Linked DNA regions of Oreochromis niloticus. The protein of the gene in region 1 interacts with the protein of each later gene in a biochemical or structural test. Links are inferred from orthologs where the notes say so. Each region holds a gene or a part of one and is shown in the gene's direction. Other genes may lie near its edges. The genes, in order: acvr2ab, erbin and bmp7b.

What was found.
Region 2: the proteins of acvr2ab (region 1) and erbin interact in a test that uses a peptide from one of them, tested with the Homo sapiens proteins (2 studies listed by BioGRID and IntAct). The link is inferred for Oreochromis niloticus from reciprocal best matches to the Homo sapiens genes ACVR2A and ERBIN.
Region 3: the proteins of acvr2ab (region 1) and bmp7b are reported together in a solved structure, tested with the Homo sapiens proteins (2 studies listed by BioGRID, with this or other methods). The link is inferred for Oreochromis niloticus from reciprocal best matches to the Homo sapiens genes ACVR2A and BMP7.

Annotation. Positions count from the first base shown.
Region 1 is NC_031986.2:18,296,055-18,303,613, reverse strand, and holds the start of acvr2ab (activin receptor type-2A), read left to right. Parts: upstream 1-4,548; 5' UTR 4,549-5,492; coding exon 5,493-5,547; intron 5,548-7,559. UniProt on the Homo sapiens protein: On ligand binding, forms a receptor complex consisting of two type II and two type I transmembrane serine/threonine kinases.
Region 2 is NC_031972.2:13,430,011-13,437,749, reverse strand, and holds the start of erbin (erbin), read left to right. Parts: upstream 1-4,634; 5' UTR 4,635-5,298; intron 5,299-7,739. Other genes in the region: nln (neurolysin, mitochondrial), read left to right, coding at 242-377, 1,240-1,606, 1,744-1,945, 2,034-2,220, 2,302-2,430, 2,642-2,778, 2,867-3,016. UniProt on the Homo sapiens protein: Acts as an adapter for the receptor ERBB2, in epithelia. By binding the unphosphorylated 'Tyr-1248' of receptor ERBB2, it may contribute to stabilize this unphosphorylated state.
Region 3 is NC_031984.2:13,769,616-13,777,312, reverse strand, and holds the start of bmp7b (bone morphogenetic protein 7b), read left to right. Parts: upstream 1-4,695; 5' UTR 4,696-5,013; coding exon 5,014-5,413; intron 5,414-7,697. UniProt on the Homo sapiens protein: Growth factor of the TGF-beta superfamily that plays important role in various biological processes, including embryogenesis, hematopoiesis, neurogenesis and skeletal morphogenesis.

The DNA of each region.
Region 1 (7,559 bases):
ACAACAACACAGTCAGGACCCCGTTTAATCCTTTTAAGCTGGCAAGGCGTGATTACTGATGCCACTCAGGTGTGTCCACCTCCCCCTCAGCCGCGCCACAGCCCGCACCCTGCCACACAGCCACTCTGTTAAAGATTTCCTGCTGTGCATGAGATCCTTGTCCTGTAGCATGATGTTGTTTGTTATAGCCAAACATCTCTACTTTGGTCTCATCTGTCCAAAGTTCAGTGTTCCAGAGGTCTTGTGCTTTGTTCATATACGACTTTGCAAACTTAAGCTGTGCTGCCACATTCTTATTAAAGAGAAGAGGCCTTCTCCTGGAAACCCTTACAAATAAACCATCCTTCTTTAGTCCCTTTCCAATTGTGCTGTCACAAACTTTAACATTTAACATGCTAAATGAGGCGTGTAGAGTCTGAGATGTAGTTTAGCGTGGGGTGAATTTCCTGGGACGTCCACTACTCCTGGGTGGGAAGATTGTGGCATTATGTTAACACACCAGAATGCCCCAGACCAGCAAACAGCCAAAGCTGTTTCACTGTGCTGTGCTGTGCTGATGATTACTTAGCAGTACCTGCTACTAAAGCTCAGATTATGGGCTAGCAGCGGTAGCATGTTGGTGGTCCAGTGGTACTGATACACTGTGGTCTACCTGCAGAGAATTTCAATAAACAGTGTCAACAGACGCAGAGTACAAAGTATGTGGTACAACCGGTCTGCTGGCCACTCTTACTTGTGCTGTTGGTGGTTGATCAGCCAGCCATGGAAAAAAACAAATTTGTAACATACAAATGAAAACAAGTGTTAAAAAGATGAAAGGTGTCCACTGCAGCCACAGTCTGTACTGGTCACACTGTATTTTTGATGTTTTATATTTTGTTTTGTTTTTTTGCTTTTTCTTGCTTCTCGCCTTCCTGCTGAACTCAGGACTACACAGAGGCACATTCACTGTGGGTGAAAACTCCTCTCTATGCGCTGTCTGCATGGAAATCATGCAAATGGATACATTGGCAGGACAGTATTTTAACCCAAATTGTGATATTTTCTAGCCAAATACCAAATGTGACTTAAAGTAACCAGTGACTGAAAAGGAAACTTAAAAATGGTGATGATAAAAATCTGAAGTCAGTTTTGAAGTGGAAACAGTCCCATGTGTCATTTCAGAAACACTTGAAAAATGTTTGTTTCACTTCACTTACGAACTAACGCCGATAAGATCATGTAGTTGGACGACTGGTTAGAGACATTTCCATGAACTCAATCAAGAAAGTGAAACTTTACAGAGGTCGAATTATTTGTCAGGACACCAATGTGAAGCAGACTTCAAAATCCCCCAAGAATTAAATTAATGTTAGTGTTTATTAGCAAATGTCAAACACAAGGCAACAAATATTCCTTGTATACTGTGATTTCTAAGGGAATAGTACTGGTTTTCTTGTATTGCATTACTGCCCTGTTGTGAAGTTCTTAAATCAACCCAATTCATCCATCCGTAATCATTTTCCAGAATGGCGCCTATCCCAACTGTCCATGGCCAAGAGAAGGACAAAGGGTCACCCGAACAGACTGCCAGTCAATCGTAGGGCCGACACAATACAAAATAAGGCAAATTAAACATTTTCAAACTGAATTGAAAAATAAGGCTTTTAAACCAATAAAAACTAATGAAAAATAAATTATTTTACTTTAAGGTTTAACTTCAATATGGATGCATCCATGTTCACCTTTTAGAGGTTAGTTGGATGGACTTGGATTCAAGCCCTGGAGGTCAGACTGAAGTTCATTTAGGTTAGGTTATGTGTGACATTTTGCTCTAGAAACCATTTTAAACGGGTCATGTGACTCTAGGCTTTTTCTGTATTTTTGTTTGTTCATATTTTAGTTACCAGGATTTATAGGAAATGTTATGGGTGAATTTACATTGACGTTTTTCCAATTTAGAAATGGTAAAGTTTTAAACTTTCCAGGAATTTTTGGAAGGTTTCTCTTTCATTGAGAAAGGGGGAAAGATACATGACAAGTTTAGATAACAGAAATATAAGACATCATCTAGAAAACAAATCTCAGTCTCAAACATATGGAGAAGGTCTGGAGAGAAGTACAACAGTAAGAGTCTACAGTCGTCTGTAAAACTCGGTGGAGGCTCTGTCATGGTTTTGGGCTGAAGACTAATCCCTGAAGACGACTTAAAGAAATGACAAAAGACTTACATTCTACATTCTTACGTTCTACATTTTCCACAGGGTGTCTGTTTTCTTTAATATCTTCATATTTTCTTGGACATCAAAATCAATCAACCCATAGGCTCATAGATTGTGAAACTCATTTCAGTCACATGATCTTACATCTCAGCTGAGATGTTGCCTGCAAACTGGAACTTTTCTATTAGCTCCCGATCTATTTTCTTACCACTTATTCATCTCGGGGTGATTTATTTCACAATACTGGTGATTTACAACAGGGTTCTCAGTTATCAGCTTACAGCACATGCTAAAGAATTTGCTTCAAAATGCCTCATCAATTAGCAACAACACAACCCATGGATGAATGAATCCTGTAGGTGTGGTATAGGCTGATCATGAAGCTATTGTTACAGCAGCTCATCCTAAACTTCTGTAAGTGAATTAGTTAATTGTACGTGACGCAAGAAAGGAGTGTGACAATCTGATTATGTGGTGACTTGGTGACCACAGCTATGCTCACAGCGTGCTGACACATACTCAGAAACAAGCCTTTTGATTCATGTTTCTAATATCTTTGAAATGATGAACATCCTGTTGGGGCTGCTTTCGCTCTTTCCGGAGAGATTTCATTTGTGATGAAAGTTTGAAAACGCTGCTAGGGGAATAACATTGACAAGAACTAAACTCCTCACCCGGGCTTTGTCAGTGCCTTGAGCCCCAGCCATTAAGCTATGTACAGGACCCCGTGTTTTGCTGAAGATGAAAGCCAACACTCCAATATAGAACAGGTGACTCAGCTTCCAGCTTGGCAGAGAAATCCCCCGAGACCTTTGACCTCCTAATCGTTTAGCAGCGCTTATGGTTGGAGATCTGCTCCAGGCTATTAGAGAGATTAGTGTCACACAGATCTGGGGATGGGCCAAGCCTATATCTGTACTTCATGGTATTCTCAGCATTTATTACTGAACACCCAACCCATGCTGAAACCTGATATATGTAGGTATAGTAGCACATACTGGAAAGTGAGGCTATATGTAGCCTATGTGCGGCATGTGTTGACCTATATGAAGTGCTGAGCTGTATAATGAACATACTGTTGATTAGAAAAAGGACATTTTTTATGTAGTTTAAACCTCAACAACACCACTGTAGATGGCTGTAGTATAAATAGTTTTTCTTTTAACATAAGGTGTATAAAATAAGTACACGTTGACTAATGATATGCAATATAGCATGCACAAAATTAAAATTAATGCAAGTTATTGTAAAGACTTATAAATGTGTAACAAATTGGGCAATTCTTACTTTGAAAGGATGTTTAAAGAAATGTGACCGCCCCTCTTTTCATTCTACGGCACGCACTGGAAAGCAAAGCTAACAGCCTTCCCGGACAAAAACAATCCCTAGCTCATAAAGCAGATCGATCAAGCTGGATAAAGTTAGCCAGATTGGCACCGGAAGTTGACTAGCAGTTCTTTCAGAATTAGGGTAAGACCCCCCCCCTCCCTCCAATAACATGTCAAAAACATTCAAAATACTAAAATACATTTGTTTATGTGATTTTATGTGGGGTTTTTAAAAAAAAATTTTTTTTTCTTATTCATACAAAGTCCATTAATAACAATGTACTCTGGACCTCAACATTATTGAAGCAATGTGGGATCATCTTGATAGAGTCTTCATAGTGCAGTGGTTTACAAATTCGCCAAACATGCTAAATATCTCTGGTTCATTTGAGGGAAGAGACAGTAATCTCACAAATGGCATCCAGAGTCAAAATCTGCCAACTCAAAGACGTGGAGCTACCTGCTGTGGCAACTCCTTGTGAATAAGGGAGCAGGCAAACGTAGCTCCTTGACAGAAAACAGAACAAAGGGCAGCCAACATCCAAAGAAGAGCTTTGAATGGTTTTCATAAAGCCTGGAAAACTATTCCTGAAGACTACTTCAAGAAATGACAAGAAAGCTGCCTAAGACAGTTCAGACTGTGTTGAAACACAAAAATAAAATCTTAAATAAAAATCTTAAATCAAATCATTTTCAAACATTTTGAGAAGTCTGTTAATTTTGGGGGCAGATTTTATAAATAATAATGGAAACAGTCACTTACTCAGGATTTAAATAAATGTTTGCGCCAAAGCCTCTCTGGGCTTTTTATAAAATGTATAAAATTGATTTTAAAAAGACATCTAAACATCTATCTAAAAAGAAAATCATACGTTTTTTGCTTCGGTTGCGTAGTTTTATTTTTTATATCAGTGAACTAAAATTTCTCTTTACAGCCGTTCGTTTACAAGCGTAAACGCTGTGGTTTTTATTTTGAAAACCCTCGCCGGAAGCTCGTTGTATGAGCTGGGTAAGCCTAACAGGGTGCCAGTGACGCCATCTTGAAATCGTCCCGAGCAGAGGAGGCGAGGAGGAGACGGACTTGGGAAAATCAGCTCGTCCTAAACTCGACAGCTACGCGGATTAACGGCAGCTTCAGCGGCTAGTGCTATCATATGATAGTCTTTCCACTTGTTCATTCGAATCTTTTGGACCGGGAACGGTTGTTTGGCCCACTTTGGAGAGGGCTGTCGCAGCGGGAGGGGGGCAAAGGCAGTCTGGTAATCGGTTGTTTCCCTGCTGGAGCGGACGGAGCCGTGGTTGTGGCCGGGCAGCCCCGCCGGACCGTCGGACGAAGCCTAAAATCTCTGCACGGAATATAACACCTAAGATAAAGCTTTTAAATCCTTTTTTGCAAATAGCGGGAGAGTGGAAATGCTCCCTTTCGACGCAGTTTGGACATTTTGAGAGCTATGCGACGGAGCTCACCGAGGAGAAGTTTGATTGGAGAGCGGAGTGCGTTTGATTTGCAGTCCGATGGATGTTAGCCCTGCCCGGCTGTGGCTCGGGTCCGTGCACCGTTCTTCTGAAAAATAGCACCACCGGGCACAGGTGAACAATGCTACTGCTGCAGACCTGGCAAGTACACGATAACCCCGGCTCCAGTGCCATCAGTTCACCCTGCATTGCTTGTGTATAAACCTGGAAATACCAGCGACCATCCCCTCCTCCTCCTCCTCCTCCTCTTCTTCATCATCCTCCTCCCGTCTTCTTTTTTTGGACTAGTGAGGCTTGCATTACCTGGGATATTTTGGATGTAGACTCGAGCTTGACTTTTTTTTTTTTAAGATGCAATATTTCCAGAGACAACAAGACATTTAATTTGACTCAATCGTTTTGAGATTTTTTTTTTTTTAAATTCTGGAGCTTTTTGTGCTTTTGTAAAATTCTCTTTCTAGTCAAGAGGATCCAATTCGGATGGAAAATGGGAGACGCCACCAAATTGGCCTTCGCCGTTTTCCTCATCTCCTGCTCTTCAGGTGGGTGTGGAGGTGGGGGGCAATGTATGTTGCGTACGGTCAGCCGTGCAGTGCATAGCTTGCTGTTATGTGTAAGGAGTGTAACCTCTTTTTGGGCATCATTGGCGTGCATGCAAACTACAGGTGAGCCCCAAGATTGAAGGGGGGGGGGGGCTCAAAGGGCCCTTGAGTGGCTTCCTGTGGGACACACGGGTACAAATTGGAGTTTTTTTCATGAAGTTAATGAGGGAGCAGCCAGGGATTTGTGTTGATGAAGTGCAAATAAAAGGTAATCAGTCACCATTTTTTAAGGGGAAAATAGGCATTGATGTTTAATCGCGTTGGCCAAACTGGATGCATGTGGCTTCTTTCTACATCTACATGCTAAAAGCCATTTTCAGCACTCTGTGTTGGTAGATGTCCATTATATGTACTTATTTCCCCGGGGTGGATGTTTAATGAATGTCAGTGTGGTGATAATAAAGGAAAGAGAGGTCATCTCGGGAGTGCAGGGCATGCTGTTTATGTGGGCGACTGGGAGAAATGCTTCACACTTTACTTTTTTACTTGCCAGAGTGTTCCGAGAGCAATTGTTCTTTAGGAAGAGAAGTCCTTGAAGTTTGTCATTTTAAATCTACCTTTTGGGTTTGGTTTGATAGGACAAAAGCCACTGAATTTTATTTATTTTTTTAATAGAATGAGAATAATATAGTTTGCAACAAATATAAAAGAGGAGACAGACAAGCAATTATATAACGTAATAGATGATTAAAGGGTAAAAAGACGGAAAAATCACATGACTAAAAGCAAGGTTACAAAAATGTGTTTTTACAGGAAGTCACAGATTTTACGAGCCTTATCTGCTCAGGCAGGTTTTAGAAAGCCAAGGGCTCCTGATGGGAGAAGCACCTCCACTTCCTCAGGTGGGGCGCTTTCTAACAATGTGAAGTAGGTTATATAAGGGGTCAGAATTTCTGCTACTTGGCCTTAAGCATGAGTAGGAAAATCTAAAATGTACTGGGAGTCAAAGGATTGGGATGATGTGATGCCGTCTGTACCAGTAAGAAGCTTCGCTGCTCCGTTTTGAACTGTTTGGAGGTGAGAGAGTGGTGTTTCATTTGCAGTAATTTAGCCTGGAAAAAGCACAAGAATGAACCTTTTCCAGCTAATATTTTGTTTAATTTTAATAGTAGATGTTATTTGGAAGAAGCAGGAAAGGAAACTTTTCTGGTTCAAAGGTTAGAGCTGAGTACGTTTCTGACTGCTGACTTTAGGGTTCTAGGACACCTTCAGAGTGGTTTGTATGATTTTTAGATTAGGGAAGAACATGATGTATGACTTTTTTTTTTTTTTTTTTTTGAGGCATTTAATTAAAGAGAAGTGTGTGTTTTAGGGATCATAAGGTATCTATTTCAAATCTATTTATCCTAGGGAAAGCAAATAAATAGGACCTATAACAGGACCTAAAATCGAACCTTGTGGTATGCCACAGATAATGCTCAATTAAAATGCTAAGAGGGGTCACGAAACTCCAGCTCCACACTCCTTTTTGATCCATCTCCAACATTTATCTTTTGCCTGGACACCTTCTCTTAATTTTCCTAAACCTCAATACTGGTGGAAATACACACATAAATGGCTAGTCCTAAATCTCTCTAGCTGTGGATTCAAATATTTAAAAAGCATGAACTCTCTCCCAATGCTGTTGGCTTCTGGCTTCGTATCATTAGTCTGACATGGACTTTATTTAAAAAAATAAAACTTTTAGTATGTTAAAAATTTTACCGGTGCTGTCTGTCTTAGTTATTATAAAAGGAGACTGTTTTTAATTTGAGTAATTTGTGTAAACATAGGTAGGACTCAATGTTTCATACATATTAGGCTTATACATGCTATTATCATTGTGCTGATAATAAAAAAAGTAAATTATTGTTATTTTAGTTTTATAATTTGCAACAAAACATGAAATAAGTACCAGTTATTAATAAATAAGTCACTGTAAAGGCGTTGGATGTGGTCAAAGGTAGTAAAGT
Region 2 (7,739 bases), on another chromosome or scaffold:
AATGACATACAAGGATACAATCAGCAATTGCTGTCACTTTAGCACATTAATGAAACAAGCAATGTTGCATATCCCATGTCTTGAGAGGGCTGAAGTTGCAGCCCAGAGAACCTGCTTGGTGAAACCACATATTACTACTGGTTACCAAATGTGTCACAGAATCAACTCAGGCTGGAAACCTGTTTTAATAAGCTTAATTAAATGATTTAACTGAGCTGCGTCTCTCGTTTTTTTCCCCCAGGTAAACACGGCAATCTTAGAAGAGTTGATACAGCTGCGGGCGAAGGTTGCACACTTACTTGGTTACGGTAGCCATGCTGAGTATGTGCTGGAGATTAACATGGCTAAAAATGCAAGCAACGTGTCTGACTTTCTGGGTATGGTCTCTTTGACATCTGACCTCGCTGCCACACACATACACATGCAAACATTCCCTGTCATTTAAGATGAGCTCTCCCGCCTCCTGATAACTGCCTTAAAGTAGGAAAAGAAACTCAATAGGACAGATGAATGGGTGTGCAACTCCACACGCAGTCACATAACATGCAGGGTGAAATGTAATCAGTTACTAATGACAAATTACACAACATCAGCTTTTTATAATTAGTAGTGGCTGTAATCAGGTTGAACAACTAAAAGCATGTCTTTAATCTCAAAAAGTGAAATAAACCAGAGCTCACAAAAGGAGCACAAGAAGCACAGAAATTCAAGTCCAACAAAGGAAAAAGACAAGACTGTATACATGCACAGAGAGATGCTCAGTAAGAATAAATCATAGAATCAGAACAAAAGCAAAAGGTTAAAGTACAAGAGGCACAAAGAAAAGTTTTTCCCACAGTAAAAACAGGAAGTGTAAACTAGAAAGACAAGAGAACTAACAGAGAGACAAAGACAAGGAAGCAGTGGGATACTACAGAAAGAAGAAGAAAGGAAACATAAGAAATGACATAAATAGAATCAAAACAGGAACCAAAACTCAAAAAATATCACACAGGAACCCAGAACCGCACTAATAGTTTTCAATGCAAACAACAAATTTTGAATATTCAGCATTTGCAGATTTAGAACAGATTTCCTCTACAAAAACGTTCAACTTTCATATTCTTTTTTTGAGTGTGCAAAGGGAGTTAGTTTGATTTGGGCTTTAAAAAGAAGATAAGAAAGTAGACAGCAAAAGGTTCAAAAAAATTGCATGCTTCACATTCCGACTAAGGAGTTTTTCTTTTTCTGCCTTTACAGACAAGTTCCATGAAACGCTGAAGCCCGTGGGAATCAAAGAGAGGAAATACATTCTTGCGCTGAAGAAGAGGGAGTGCCTGATGAAGGGCTACCAGTTTGATGAGAAGATTAATGCCTGGGACTTACCCTACTACATGAATCAAGTGGAGCAGCGCAAGTTTGCTGTGGACAAGGACAAACTAATCGAGTATTTCCCTCTTGATGTGGTGACAGAAGGGCTGTTTGGTATCTACCAGGAGCTGCTGGGTCTCATATTCACAGAGGTGGAACAGGCTGACGTGTGGCATGAAAATGTCAAGCTGTACTCAGCCCGGGACACTGAAACAGGGGAGGAGATTGGTCAGTTCTACCTGGATCTGCATCCAAGGTAGATTATGTGTCATTTTTTTCAGAGACAAGATAAGATCCTGTGTTTGATGTCTTTATGAAGTGTGAGCTCACTAACATTCACTAGAGCTCTTGATCTGTGTGATAGACTTCAGCCTGACTGTGACATTTCACCAGGGAGGGAAAATATGGCCACGCAGGTTGCTTTGGGCTCCAGCCTGGCTGCAGAGGCCCCGATGGAAAGCGCAGGCTGCCGGTTGCGGCCATGGTAGCCAATTTCACCAAGCCTAGAAAAGGTTGTCCTTCTCTCCTCCAACACCATGAAGTGGAGACCTATTTTCATGAGTTTGGTCATGTCATGCACGAAATCTGCTCTAAGGTCAGTCGCTATGTTCAGTCAGGAAGTTATTGATATTTATATACTGTGTGCTTATGAATAAAAATTAGTTTTTCTGTGTATGCGTCAGACTGCTTTTTCAGAATTCAGCGGAACAATGGTGGAGACAGACTTTGTGGAGGTGCCGTCTCAAATGCTTGAGAACTGGGTTTGGGAAAAGGAGCCTCTGAGAAGAATGTCCTGTCACTACAAAGATGGTACCTCCATCCCAGACGAGCTGCTCGACAAACTGATTGCCTCCAGAGTTGCTAACACTGGTCAGACACCTAAACTTTGCACAAAAAAGTCTGTTACATTTATGTGTAAGTGAAGAGTCTCTGTTGATGTGTTCACTTCAGGGCTTATGAACCTACGTCAGGTAGTCCTTAGTAAGGTGGACCAGTCGCTTCACACCAGCCCACGTGCAGACACTGCTGAGGTGTTTGCAAAGCACTGCCAGGACATCCTGGGTATTCCTGCTACACCAGGTCAGCTTTAGCTTCAGCTATTTAGAATATATTTGAGAAATTATTGCATTAGAATTTCTATCAGTGATGCGGATTTACATTTTATAATAAACAGTCCACTCTGGGCATTAGTAGTTTGTATTCAGTGTTTTGTATGAAGCGCACAGACACTATCGTTTTTCTTTTTTGGAATTTGTATTAGCGATTTGTAACAAAGATCTGCTCTCTGCAGGAACCAACATGACAGCCAGTTTTAGCCACTTAGCTGGAGGATATGATGGTCAGTACTATAGCTATCTATGGAGCGAAGTCTACTCCATGGACATTTTCTTCAGTCGTTTTAAAAAGGAAGGCATTATGAATCCAAAGGTTGGTTTTCTGGTTGAACATTTCACTCTAATGATGTCTTATTTTTCTTGAAACTGTCTTTATATGTGCATTTATGCCCTGAACACAGGTTGGAAAAGAGTACAGAAGAGTGATACTGGAAGCTGGAGGCTCTGTGGATGGGATGGACATGGTGAAAACCTTCCTCGGACGTGCGCCGTATCAGGATGCCTTTTTCCAATGCAAAGGACTGGTTAACTCACAAGAAGCATCAATGTAATCTGATGTGATCTTTAACTGTTTTTGTCATTATTATATTATATCTGGATGCAGGTAAATGTCAGTTGAGAAATAAGGTATTATTACTATCTTCAGGATTTCATACTAGAGTTCTGTCTGCCTTTGTTTAAATGTCCAGTACATCACGACAGGGCCTCGTCATGACATGTTCAATGTGTTTTACAGCCTTTTTAATTCGTCATGGCAGAGGTGTTACTAAAACAGTAAACCAGGGATGTCAAACTCATTTTAATTCGAGGGCCACATACAACTTCATTTGATCTTAAGTGGGCCAGACCAGTGAAGCTCAACTACACATTAAATCCATCAGATATCTTCATATATGAACAAGAAGTGCAGTTTCTACAGTTTGTCTCATTTTTATTTCTACAGTTTGTCTCATTTTTATTTCTACATGATGAAAAAATTGTGCCATACTAAATACAAGCACAATTTTGGGGGGTTTAAATTGTAAGAAATTTATAAAATTACAGAAAAGGTTCTGGTTGCTCATTGCCAGGACTGTCCTGTAATTATAAAGCAGAAAGCTTTTGTTAGTTCAGAGAAAATGATCTGTTTCTCTTTATTTTGTCTTACTATGAACCAATTGAAAAAAACATTTCTATAGTAGTTACTGAAAAAATGGGAACTACTTTTCTGTCATTTATTTGTTTATCTTTTACATAATTACTTTGGTGTTGTGTGGATGACCATGGTGCTGTAGAACTCATGTCCATAATTTAAGCCCTCCACATTTTCCAAAGCCATCCAGCAGGCCAAATTGGAGTCCTTGCCGCCGTTTCTGGCCCCTGGGCCCTATGTTTGACACTCGTACAATAAAGAATGGATATTTCTTTATATTAAAGAATATGAATAATATGGTTTCCACAATAGTTCTTTTTCGAAACATACATTCTCGTCATTAATTTCATTACTTATGCCATCACTTCTGCTGTGACATGTCAGAATTTCCTTCCATGCAGTGATCAGATATGTCAAGGGTACAAAAATAGTAACAGCAGGCTTAAGTTACAGGTATCCAAGTATAGGCGCTAACATACCCTTACTAGATTTACAATATAGTCAAAAAACTGTTTTCAACTGCTTCTTTCTGCTGCCACATTATATTACATTTATCAGCTACCTACTCTTGGTGGCCTGACAACTTCATTAAGTCGTTTAGAGGGTTGACACTAGACGTTAGACTGTTCAAGCCTTTTACGTTGAGCACACCCGTCAAACATTATGTGGAAAATTCTACCCTTGAAAGGCACTTGGCTATTTTAATGGATATATCTTTGAGCTATCTTTAAATCTCCAGAAAAAAGGCCATATTATTCTATTTAATTTAAATTTCCAGTGAAATGCAAAAATCTTCGCTGGAGGGCGCCACGACATAACAAGAGTAATGAAGGCTGCTGCAAACCGTACAAACACCTATTTTTTGTACGTTATATGTAAATGGGTTTAATAAAATCCCTTGTCGGTCTGGTTTGTATACGCATTTGCAGTCTGTGTGAATATCCTGTGTAGCCTATTTGAAAGGGAAAACAGTGTCAATAAGTCAATGCACAGAGGAAGATAAGCGGAATCACTAGCAGTGTCTGGGTGAGATAGTGAAAGCGTCGTCCCCGGGGCTCGGTGAGGCTGGAAAGGCGACTACTGGTGGACAGCTTTCTCCATGTACCCGCGGAGGTCGCAGAGAAGAAACTCGCCGCTTCGTGCTGTGCCCCACAGCCTCAATGTAGCTTCGTTCCAGTCAGTAGAGCTGCGTCTATTGTAAATGAGCAAAGACCTGGAAATTATGAGCGAAAACATCTGGGTGCGGCACACTTTAGAGGAAAAGGTTTCGCTGTGCCGGAGGTGGTTCGCAGTTTTGCCTTTTGTATTTCCTTGCTGAATGTAGTGGACATTTTGGATTTTTTTTAATGTTGTGTCATTAATTTGCATCAGTTAAGGACCATTTTTGCGCTTGTCTTCGTCGTCGGTTAGTCTGGCTGTGCCACAAGGCAATATTTTTATGTCTCAAAACAACTGAGAGGGACAACGTTAAACTTGAGGGCGGCTCGCTGAGGAGAATGTACGCACTGGGCCAGCTTCGAGTTGCTCTCTAAGTAAGGCAATATTAGCTAGCTGCTAACACTAGCCAGACCCAATTGAACTGTCGTGAAGCAAACCAGTGAAACCAGCTAATGCCCACTTCTCAAGGTGTTTGTTGGGTAGTATCAGCCTTCACATAAGCTGGATATCATTAAATGAGACGCTGACCCGACAGTAACTCAGGTAAGTCTCTTTGTTTGCGCAAGTTACTGCTTCTGTCTGCGGGGCCCCACACAGCATGCTAACGCTAGCTGTAGCGTTGTATCGCTGAGGTCCCATTCTCAGGTTGTCCCACTTGAAGTCTCGCATTAATGCGGTTGATTTTAAATGTGGAATTATACGATAATGTATTATCTGGGTGCTTGTAGTTTAGTAATGGCTGTGAGAGCATTGTTGGTTTAAAACAACAGGTTTTGGACTGTATTAACAGACTTGAGCATCTGTGTTTTCGGAAGGTTTCGCATCAGCAGCTGTGTATGCTGTTGCCCCTTTGCGATGTAGCTCACTTGGCACTAATTTATTCGCTTTAGAAAGCGGTGTAGTACATTTAAAGCTGTCAGTCTATAAGTGTTGATACTATTCCTAAAACCAGCCATTAATAACTGCGCCGCAATAGCAACACTCGCATCTTTTGTTGCGCCTACACCGTCTAGGACGGATTAGCGCGCCGTACTTATCAACATATTGGCGTTTTCATTTTCTCGCCGCTTCATTAATCAGATTAGTGTCCTCACTTAACTCCACTGTAATTTAATCCCGTTAAGATCCGGGATAAATTCAGGACTATTCTGAGGAATTTCAGCAGGTCTGTCCTTGCCTGTCGACTTGTTGTTAGTGTTCGTCATTCACCGCTCTGGGAAATGGTGTCAGGAGATGCAATCAGGTTGAGTCTCAGGGCACCTTGAAGGCAACGCTCAGGTAGACAAGTAATAAGCCCGGGATCGAGTGTCGTTAGTAAGATACCTAGATTAAATCCGCTAATGTGTCAACTTCTTACTGGAACTTAATTGACTATAAAGTACAGTTAAGAGGTGAATCGGAGATATTTCTGCATCTGTGTAGATTATCTTAGATTTCATAACATAACTTTACAAACGTACTGAACCAGGTGGAGTGTTGCCAGAGATAATATTTTGTAGTAGATTGAGATACTAACTATGGATGTCATGATAACAGATTGTCATTTAATGAAAAGTAATATTTAAACTCAAAATTCAAGTGCGTGGAGGTATCAAAGGCTACTGCAACCATAACTGTGCGAATACATACACAACTGCAGAACAATTACATGTTCATTTTCAATACGATACGTGCATTTTGGGCACAGTGTTTTGTAATTGAATTTTTCAATCTCACATGAATGTCTTCCAGGGTGATTTAAAACTCAAACGTTGAATTTGGTATTTGGAGCTGTCAGTCAAGCAAACAGAAACCTTATCAGATCAGTCTTCAAAGGCTCTCCCAGCTGTAATAAAATGTAAACAAAGACTAGGCTCGATCTTCCCCTGCTTGTCAATGTTATGGGCCCGTTATCTACAAGCTGATATTCAGCTATTTGGAGAAGATTATTCAGGTATTGGTAATGAAACTGACTAAAAGTGTATATATAGTGTAAGCAGAAAATTGCCCGAATTTTGGATGTTTTCCCAAAGGTGTTTGTTTACACTAATTTTGTATTCTTGTAGACACATTTCCACTCATCGGGAAAAGCTGTGTATTTGGTATATGGATATTTTGTATATCACTAACAGAAGTGTGTGTCGTATTCTTACAGTACACTGGTTTCATTGAGGTATTGAAGGCCTGTCATGGCATTTTGGTTATCAAGTTCCTCATGTGATCATTTACAACAGACCTTATCTAGAACTGAAGATAAGGTTCACTGTAACAAAGGCTCTTTCCTCTACTGTTCTTTTCTCGCACAGGTGGCAAAGAAGTGTTGTTCCACTTGCCTAAAAGTTTGTTGTGTCAGTCGGAGACAAGACACTGCCAAAAGCAGTAAAACTGTGTTTCTTATCTTTATTATACACCAGACATGTTGGCATAAGTGTTAATCCACAAATCAATGTCGGTTTAGCTGTGAAATTCTTCCATATCTCTATGTATGTTGAATTGGATATCCTTTAGTAAGTACACTGGTTCAAAACTATCTTTTTTTTCCTTTCGAAACAGCTCTAAACTGTTTGACTTCATGTTCTTAACAGAGTCTGGTTTACTTATGGGTATATCATGTTAAAAGTTTTTCTTAAACAATGAGTGATCCTGCTAAACTCAGAGTCAGCGGTATATCTACTGATGGAAAAGTGGCTGTACAGGCTTATCTATTTCTGTTTACATCTGGTGTCGGCTGTTAAACAAGTACGTAACATGGTGCTTTTCATTGTCACTGGATCTTAAGGTGTGTCTTTTCTGATGACGCTTTATACCACGTAGGAAACCTTTTTTTTTTTTTTTTCCTTCTCCCCCCTCCTTAATCTTCTGCTTCTGTGACCATACAAGTGCTCGTTTCCTCTTCAGCATGTCTAGCCTTGATCTGACTCGTATCCTTATTTCTACCTTTGTTGTTAGTAGGTAACATGTAGTGTGCTAGTCCAAAGAGCACATGTTCGGTGACTAACTGCACA
Region 3 (7,697 bases), on another chromosome or scaffold:
TTTTGATGATGGCTGTGTGCGTAACGATAATGCTGGCCAACATGTGTTTTAAGGCTCTCTTAAATGGTACAAATGCTGCTCATTCTTTTGTTAGGAGCTCAGTTTACTATATCAGACAGTTATTGCCTAATTACAGCTGTTTTAAGCTACAAACATTAAAAAGACATTAAATAAATACGACACCCTGAGGAAATTGCACATTTTACTTCATAAACAACCTTTCAGAACCTGTTTCTGTCTCTTGGTTGCATTGTGCTGCAGTCATGTCGCTTCATTAAAGCAGAAAAATGTGCTTGGATTTTACAACTATTAGGTCATCAAGAGTCCCCACCTTTCAGAATTGCTGGCAGGCATGCTGCGTGTGTTTGGAGAGGCGCTGTGGTCTTTTTTTTCCACAGTGTGAAGGCCTGCTCAGAGCGTGTGGGAGCCAGGATCTAAAGAGAAGAGGTCCGTGCCCCTGACCTGACCCTGAATATTTTCTAATGTGCAGCTTTACCAATGGTCCCTCTTTCCCCTGAGTGACTTTGACAAGCTGCTTCCGTAGTAATGTCTCTTAATTTCTGAGTAATTGCTATCTCTTAGTGATGAGGAACAACCCCTCACCCAAGCTGAAAAAATGTTAATATGTGGAAGACCACAGGTTGCCGGGGTCCTTTTTCTTCTGTTCCAGAAAGCCCGAGACCCCTGCTGTTCCTTTGGCCCAAGAGAGATTTGTGTCGAGTGTGAGGCCCTAACCTGAGGAGACAGAGTGCAACGAGTCATGTGCTTGTCTCGGGATGAGTGTTTGTGCTGGGCAGGAGGGGGAACATGGGGGAAGTAAGGGGCTGCAGGGTCAGAGGAAAGAAAGGGGGGGCACCCGCTGCAGGTGAGGGGGATTAGCTGCAGCTAGAGGCCCAAAGAAACTAAATACAGATCTGTCAACCTAATCCTCACAAATAGAAAACAGAACCACCCTCCCTTCACAATCCACATTCAGCTCATCCACCTCTTGCTCTTCTACCCCCCACTACACGCCAACCCTCCCACCTCCCCTCCACTTACTACCTCAGGCTCTGCTGCTCCTCTGTTTCTCATCAGTTTTTGGCCAGTCTGTGCTGCCTGCTCTCTAATGGCTCCTCAGACCAGCATCCCCTAAAGAGGGGCTGACTGATCACCCAGGGTCCTCTCTGATTGACAGACCAACATAGCCTTATGGAGTGATGAAAGCAAGAGTCAAAGGGGCAAGGCCTCTCGCTACACAGACAGGAATCTTAATGGGACCTCTGTCGAGAGTTGCTGAAACTGGGTGGACATTTATCAGGCCCACACACCTCAGTAATGGATGCCGATAAGTGTGTGGCTGGGTGAGGAAACCAGTGTCAAGCCTGGACTCTGTGCTGATGACACAAGTGACAGGGCGCCTGAGTGATAACATCCTATAAAGGATAAGCTCTACTAAGCTGGGCGTTATAGAAGGCTTAACTAAAACGGTATCTCTGATTGTCAGCAACACCAACTATAACTGATGGGTCTGGCTGGACTGCTGAGAGCTATAAATCAGGTTCAAGCTGCTCTGGTGATCCCAAGTGTGATATCAGCTTGCAGACAAACATGGGGTGGCAGGACATACCAGGTTGAAAGAAAGCAGTGAGTGATGGAGAGGAGAGCTGCAAGGTGCACTATTTCAAATAAGATAATCACATATTCCTCATTCGAAAATATCTGCAGATCATTTGGACGTGTCACAGTGTCATGAAGCTCATATATACCAAATTAAATTAAAGAACGACATAAGGGTTGGGTTGCAATTGCCAGTTCCAAATTATATGTAACCTATTTGTTATTGCTCAAGTCTAATAAAAGTCCTCTTGAATTTTTATCGCCGCCCTTTTTCATGATTATTGTACCTGGCAAAACATTACGTTTAGTTGTTAAACATTGAGTTTTGGTTCTTTGGTTGTTGAGCTTTACAATGTGAACTAGTTTGAAGCTGTTTCATATACCCACCCCCCTCTTTTCTTCTGCCTGTCTCACAGCTGTGTCTCATATGTTCATGAGGCCCCTGGAAGTGTGAGACACCAGAAGGGGAACATTTGCAATAGCTCTGCTCCACCTGGTTAGGCTGTTTTAACAGGCCGTCGGTTTGTGCAGCGCACACAGTGGGGTTACGCCAAAAACATAGACGAAGGAGGACAGGACCAGCAGACGAGGGAGGGGGCATGAGCAAAAAATGTGCCTCCGCCGTCTTGTGTCCTGGCACCCCGGCCCTACACTTCTTTATTTGAAGGTCAGTTTACCTTGAAAAAAAGTTTTACTGTATCGTCTGTTGGTCTACTTGGTCAGACCCCGCCCCGCCCCTCTTCCACCAAACCTCATCCGCCTCCCTGCATGCACAGGTCTTCAAAGGACTACTGCCTGCTGCTCTCTGAGGCAACACATGAAATAAATATTAATCTGACCTCTGACCGCATGCTTTGAGCTCCTAAGCAGAGTTAAACAGAAAGAGCATCAACTCTTGTCATAGCTAAAAAGAAGTAAAAAGAAAGAAGCAAAATATTTTGAAGTGTTACCTGGGTGCGAAAGCATTTCCAGGTATATTACGCTGCACCGCTGTGTGGTCTTCTTTGGAGCTTTGCATCATGCTCCAACCTGTTGGAGTGTAGTGGGGAGGTGTTTATTTGCTCAGATCCCCTAAGATCATAGTGGAAAGAGCGCATGTGTGTGTGCAGTCAAAATGCTCCAGGCCAAATGCTGGGTTTTAAAAGAAAAGACCTTTTGAGTTTACCATTATGAGCTCTAATAGAATAGCCCTTGTCATCATGGCTGCACAGCTGTTCAACTCAGCAGAGTTTTCTTCCTGAAAAGACTTACTCAGGTACACTGCATGTCTACGTGTCTACTTTTTTCAGCAGCTAAGCAGAAATGTTCCGTGTATGTTTTATTTTATTCATTTATTTTTTAACATTTTCTTTTACAGGCCCAAACAGAGTGTCTCACAATTTGTCTGGCTTGTGTATTTTAGCCAAAATATTCAATTTAGTGGGACACACTTGAGACAAGTTGTGGCTATTCTTTTGGAAGTTTGTATGTGTGTGTGTATGTGTGTGTGCATTACTGACAGGATATTCAAACACTGTTTGTTCTACTTTTCTACTAGTCCCCCTTGTCAAAGGCCCCTTAGTGCAGCTTACCCTGCCTGGCCTCTGCCTGTGCCCAGTGTTTACTGGGACTGTCACCAGACTCATGGAGGCCGAAACAAAGGGGGGTCTGTTCTTATTGTCCCGTCCAGGATTGTCAGCCCTTCTCTGGGCACAAACTGAACTGAGGGCTGGGGGCTGTTTGAAGAGCACTGGGGGCATCTGACCTCACCAGACTTACAGAAAGGGCATGAGAATGAAACAATGAGAAAGTCAAAAGAAAGTGAGAAACAGAGGAAGATGTATAGCTATAACCCAGGACCTTTCAAGTCCTCTGTCGGAAACTGCTGTTATGTAAACACCTGCAGCCATTAGCTGATTCTATCTGAGGCACCGGATAGAAATGTTTATATGTTACATACTACTGAAAGGCGAGTTAAAAGCAAATAGAGTATTAGATATACAAAATGAGTAGTGGCAGGCTATGTAAGCTTTAATGCTTTAAGCCATGTTGAATTGTCATTGGAAAAAAGAGGAGTGGAACGCCTTTGAAGACAAGAACAACCACATTAAATGGGCAGGAAGGTGAGCTAAGACCCCAAGACATGCTCTACCTCCTTTCCTCCCTTTCCTCTGTTTGCAATCATAGCTTAAGCTGTCTGGCAGCCTCTCTTGCTGTGCCATTGAAGTCTAATTTTATTGTCATAAAAATCACCTGGCAAGCTGTAGCCTGAAGACCCTTTGAAACTCCCCTCTCTGTGCAGTGAGTACTCTCTAGATAAAGCAGTCATTCTCGGGCCATCTGAAGTCCCTCCGCCTGTGTCAGTGAGAGCAAAGCGCACATGAGGGTCAGGAGCGTTCTATTAAAGTGTGGTGTTTAAGAGGTGCTGGTGCCAGGGGGGCAGATGGAGGAATGAAGCAGCTGCCGAACATCTGCACCCCTCCTTTGCAGTCTGAGCCCTGTGCACTGCTGCTTTTGTCACAAACTTCCTGCTCTAGCTCTGGGGATGGAAAACTAGGATATCTTCAGAAATGCAGCGTGAAATGGCAGTTGTGGGGCTGCAGTACAGCCTCTTTGACATCAAAAGATAACAGGCTTTAGAGTCTCAGAGCCACATGACCCAAGGCATTCAGAGAGTGCACCTGCGGATCAGCCAATTAACTATTGTAATGGCAGGACTGCAACTACATGTTGCGACCTCTCCTACAGTACTGAAGTATTCACTTGCAAAGTCAAATAAGAACTCTCTGATATGAAATCAGCCTTCCATATGTACACTCACCATGAACGGTCTGTTGTGGCTGTCTTAACATCAGTCATTAGTGAATTATCACGAGCCTACAGGTACTAGGAAATGTGGAAAGCATTGACGAAATGTGGTGTATAATAAACTGAAGCGTCATAATACAAATCCAGTCCTAATCCTTTTCTTATTTGCACATGTAGCCTCAAGGCGTTCTCCTACTGGCAACAAAGCCAGGCTAGCTCTGCTCAATAAGGCAACCACAACATTCTCTCTCTCTCTCTCTCTCTCTCTCTCTCCCTCTACTCCTCTTTGCAAACAGCGCCTCCTCAAAACTTGTTCTCGTCTCTCCTAGTGAAACCTGTCTGCTTGCAGCCTCCTCTCTGCAGTTGCAGGCTGCACTACAGCTGGTAGAGCTTGACCACAGGTTGCGCATGAGGACCGAGGTCCACGCGTCCAGGAAAGCAGTCAATAAAAGGACTTTGAAGTGAAGTTGATGTTTCACTCGGCAGCACTTCCCTCAACATGAGGGACCGTAACTGATTTTGGATATTAAACACAGAGTGCCTGCTGCTAAAAGTTTACTAACCATTTTTTTTTTTTTTTAGAGTTTCGGTGATCCGAATTGGGCGCAATTACGCACTGCGAGCATTATGGCACAGATTTTGGATAAGCGTGCTCCCGTTTTGCTCTTGGTTTGGAGCTACTGCGTCCTGGCAAACACTGCCTTTACGAACTTTACGTTGGACAACGAGTTTCACTCCAGTTTCATCCACCGTCGGCTGAAGAGCCAGGAGCGCAGAGAGATGCAGCGGGAGATCCTGTCGATCTTGGGACTGCCGCACCGGCCGCGACCCCACCTCCATGGAAAACACAATGCTGCCCCGATGTTCATGCTGGACTTGTACAACGCCATGTCTACAGACGGAGACGAGGACAGATACTCCTACCCTTACAAACCCGTCTTCACCACACAGGGTCCACCGATAGCCAGCCTGCAAGACAACAACTTCTTAAACGATGCAGACATGGTCATGAGCTTTGTGAATTTAGGTAGGCACTTTATTTTCTTAAGTCTCCCATCAAATTCAGTTTTATATAAATCCCCTCCCAGAAAAACAAGACCGTAGAGAATAATAAACACGTTGAAATATTATCAATGTAATCGTTGTTATGCGCGTCATAATAACCCAGGTCTTTTATTTGATTAATAAAATGTAGTACTATTATGACTGTCTTTATCTATTAATTATCAAACACATAGCAAGGACTTTGAAAAAAAAGCTTTTTTAAGGACAGATATCTTTGGCTTGACGATTATAAGTGTTGAGAAGTTTCATATGTTAATTCGCGTCGGGGTTCTTTTTTTTTTTAACAAGGAGATTTAGTACTTTTAATATTGCACTCTGCTTGATACATCTTACACATTGTTTTTGGGACAAATCAGGCTTTTAGTCATATGATATGTAAGTGTCAAAGGTGGAAGAGCAGAATGACTGTGGTGGTATTTTATATTCTCACAGTGCTTCACGTAAAGAAACAGCACAAGTATTTTTCTGATGGTACACCTGTGTCCACACAAAGGAGACCAGCACAATAACGACGTTTACATACTGCAGTTATCTAGCTAATACCAGGAGTGGCACATTCCAGTGTCCTTCTCTGTTAAACAGCTGTGCAACCAGCTAATGTTCAGGTGCTGTTCTGTGGATGATGGACCAGACAGCAGCTAACTTGTCAGCCATGTGTTATCTAAAGAATGAGTAAGTCAACAGCAGAATGAGTTCAAAGTGCACTGGGTCCTCCCTTAACTCTAATCTGGAGACATCCCTCACATCACAAATAATGCCAGCCAGTGATGTTAGTTTAGTCACAGTGTGATTTAATTAGATTCAGTTGTTCACAAAATAAATATCAGTGGCATAGGACATACTTCACATCAATTAAATTGCTTTGTTGAATGTTGTTTCCTGGCCCAATGTGCTTATCTAATCAAATATGTTTATTGAAATCGAACACTCCTGGATTTTTTATTGCTGCCAGCAACAGTCAGAGGTTGTTAAGTGTAAATAGTCAAAACATTAGCATGTGGTATCAGATTTATGGATTGATAAAAGCATCATTATAATTCAATTTACTTAACAAATTATGTAGTCACAGCAACAGCTCCATTTATGTTCCAGATGAGTAGCTTTTACATATCAATCTGGGACCAGACAGACATAGAAATAAATCAAATCTGTAGGAGGCATACGGATGGTTACAGTTTTTGTAAGCCAATACATTTTTTTTTCTTGACTTTCTGCAAGCAGTGAGACATTTACATTCAATCCTGGAAAGATCATTGTTGGAGTGTCTTGGCAAGAGAGAGGGAGGTGACACTGGCTCCTCCACTGCACTGTGTAATTACTGTGGGAGCTGCTGCATTGTGACTATTTTTGACAGGCTGTGACACAGATGGATCTGACCACAGAGACTCAAGACACAAGTCAAGGGCCTCGCAAAGTCAAGGGCCAAGACGGCACTAAGATGGCGAGAAAGAAGGGAGCAGGGAGCCTTTGGCAGAGTGATAAAGTTCCTCTGTCTATTTTGCAAAGGTCTTTTTAGCAAAAAACTTTTGCAAGATGGCTTACATCAGCTAGGGAGAACTTTTTTATTTCCTATGTTAACAAAAACAAAGTCACACTGCCCTCTTGAAATCTTGTGGCTAATGTAATCACTAATGGCATCTGCTCAGGTTGAGTCTTCCTCACAGCACGTATTTAGTCTTCCCTCAAATGACACTCATTTGGATATAAACAGCGCATTCATGATTTAATCTGCCACGTGTTAGATCTATCAGTAGGGTCCATTGTTAGGCTGGTTCCGTACTCTCATGTGATACCATCAAATAGACATCCTGGTGGCTTTATTCAAAACAGCAGATAATATGCAATTTCGTTACCCTTTACACGAAAGGGAGGGAGGGAGAGGGAATTCACTGAGAAGAAAGTGATGGCTTTCAAATGGATTGACTATTTCCTCTCCAAATTCCTTCCTTTCCACATTTGCTCGTTGTGGTTTTTGTTTTCTTATTTAGGTTGTCTGAGAGCAAAATGAGTGTAGCTTTTATTTAAAAATTGTCCCTCAAAACTGCATGTCTCCATAGCTACTGAGCCAAGGTACATTAGTCAGACTTTGTACCCTGGGTGCTGCTTCCTGAGAGGCCTGTTTTCATGCACTGTTTGCATTTAAATTTATGGTCAAATATGGGAAAATGGATCTGATTTTAGAATTGCCATCAAAATCAAAGATCCCTGAGCTACTAGAATAGTCCATAGAATGTAAAAGAATTGTT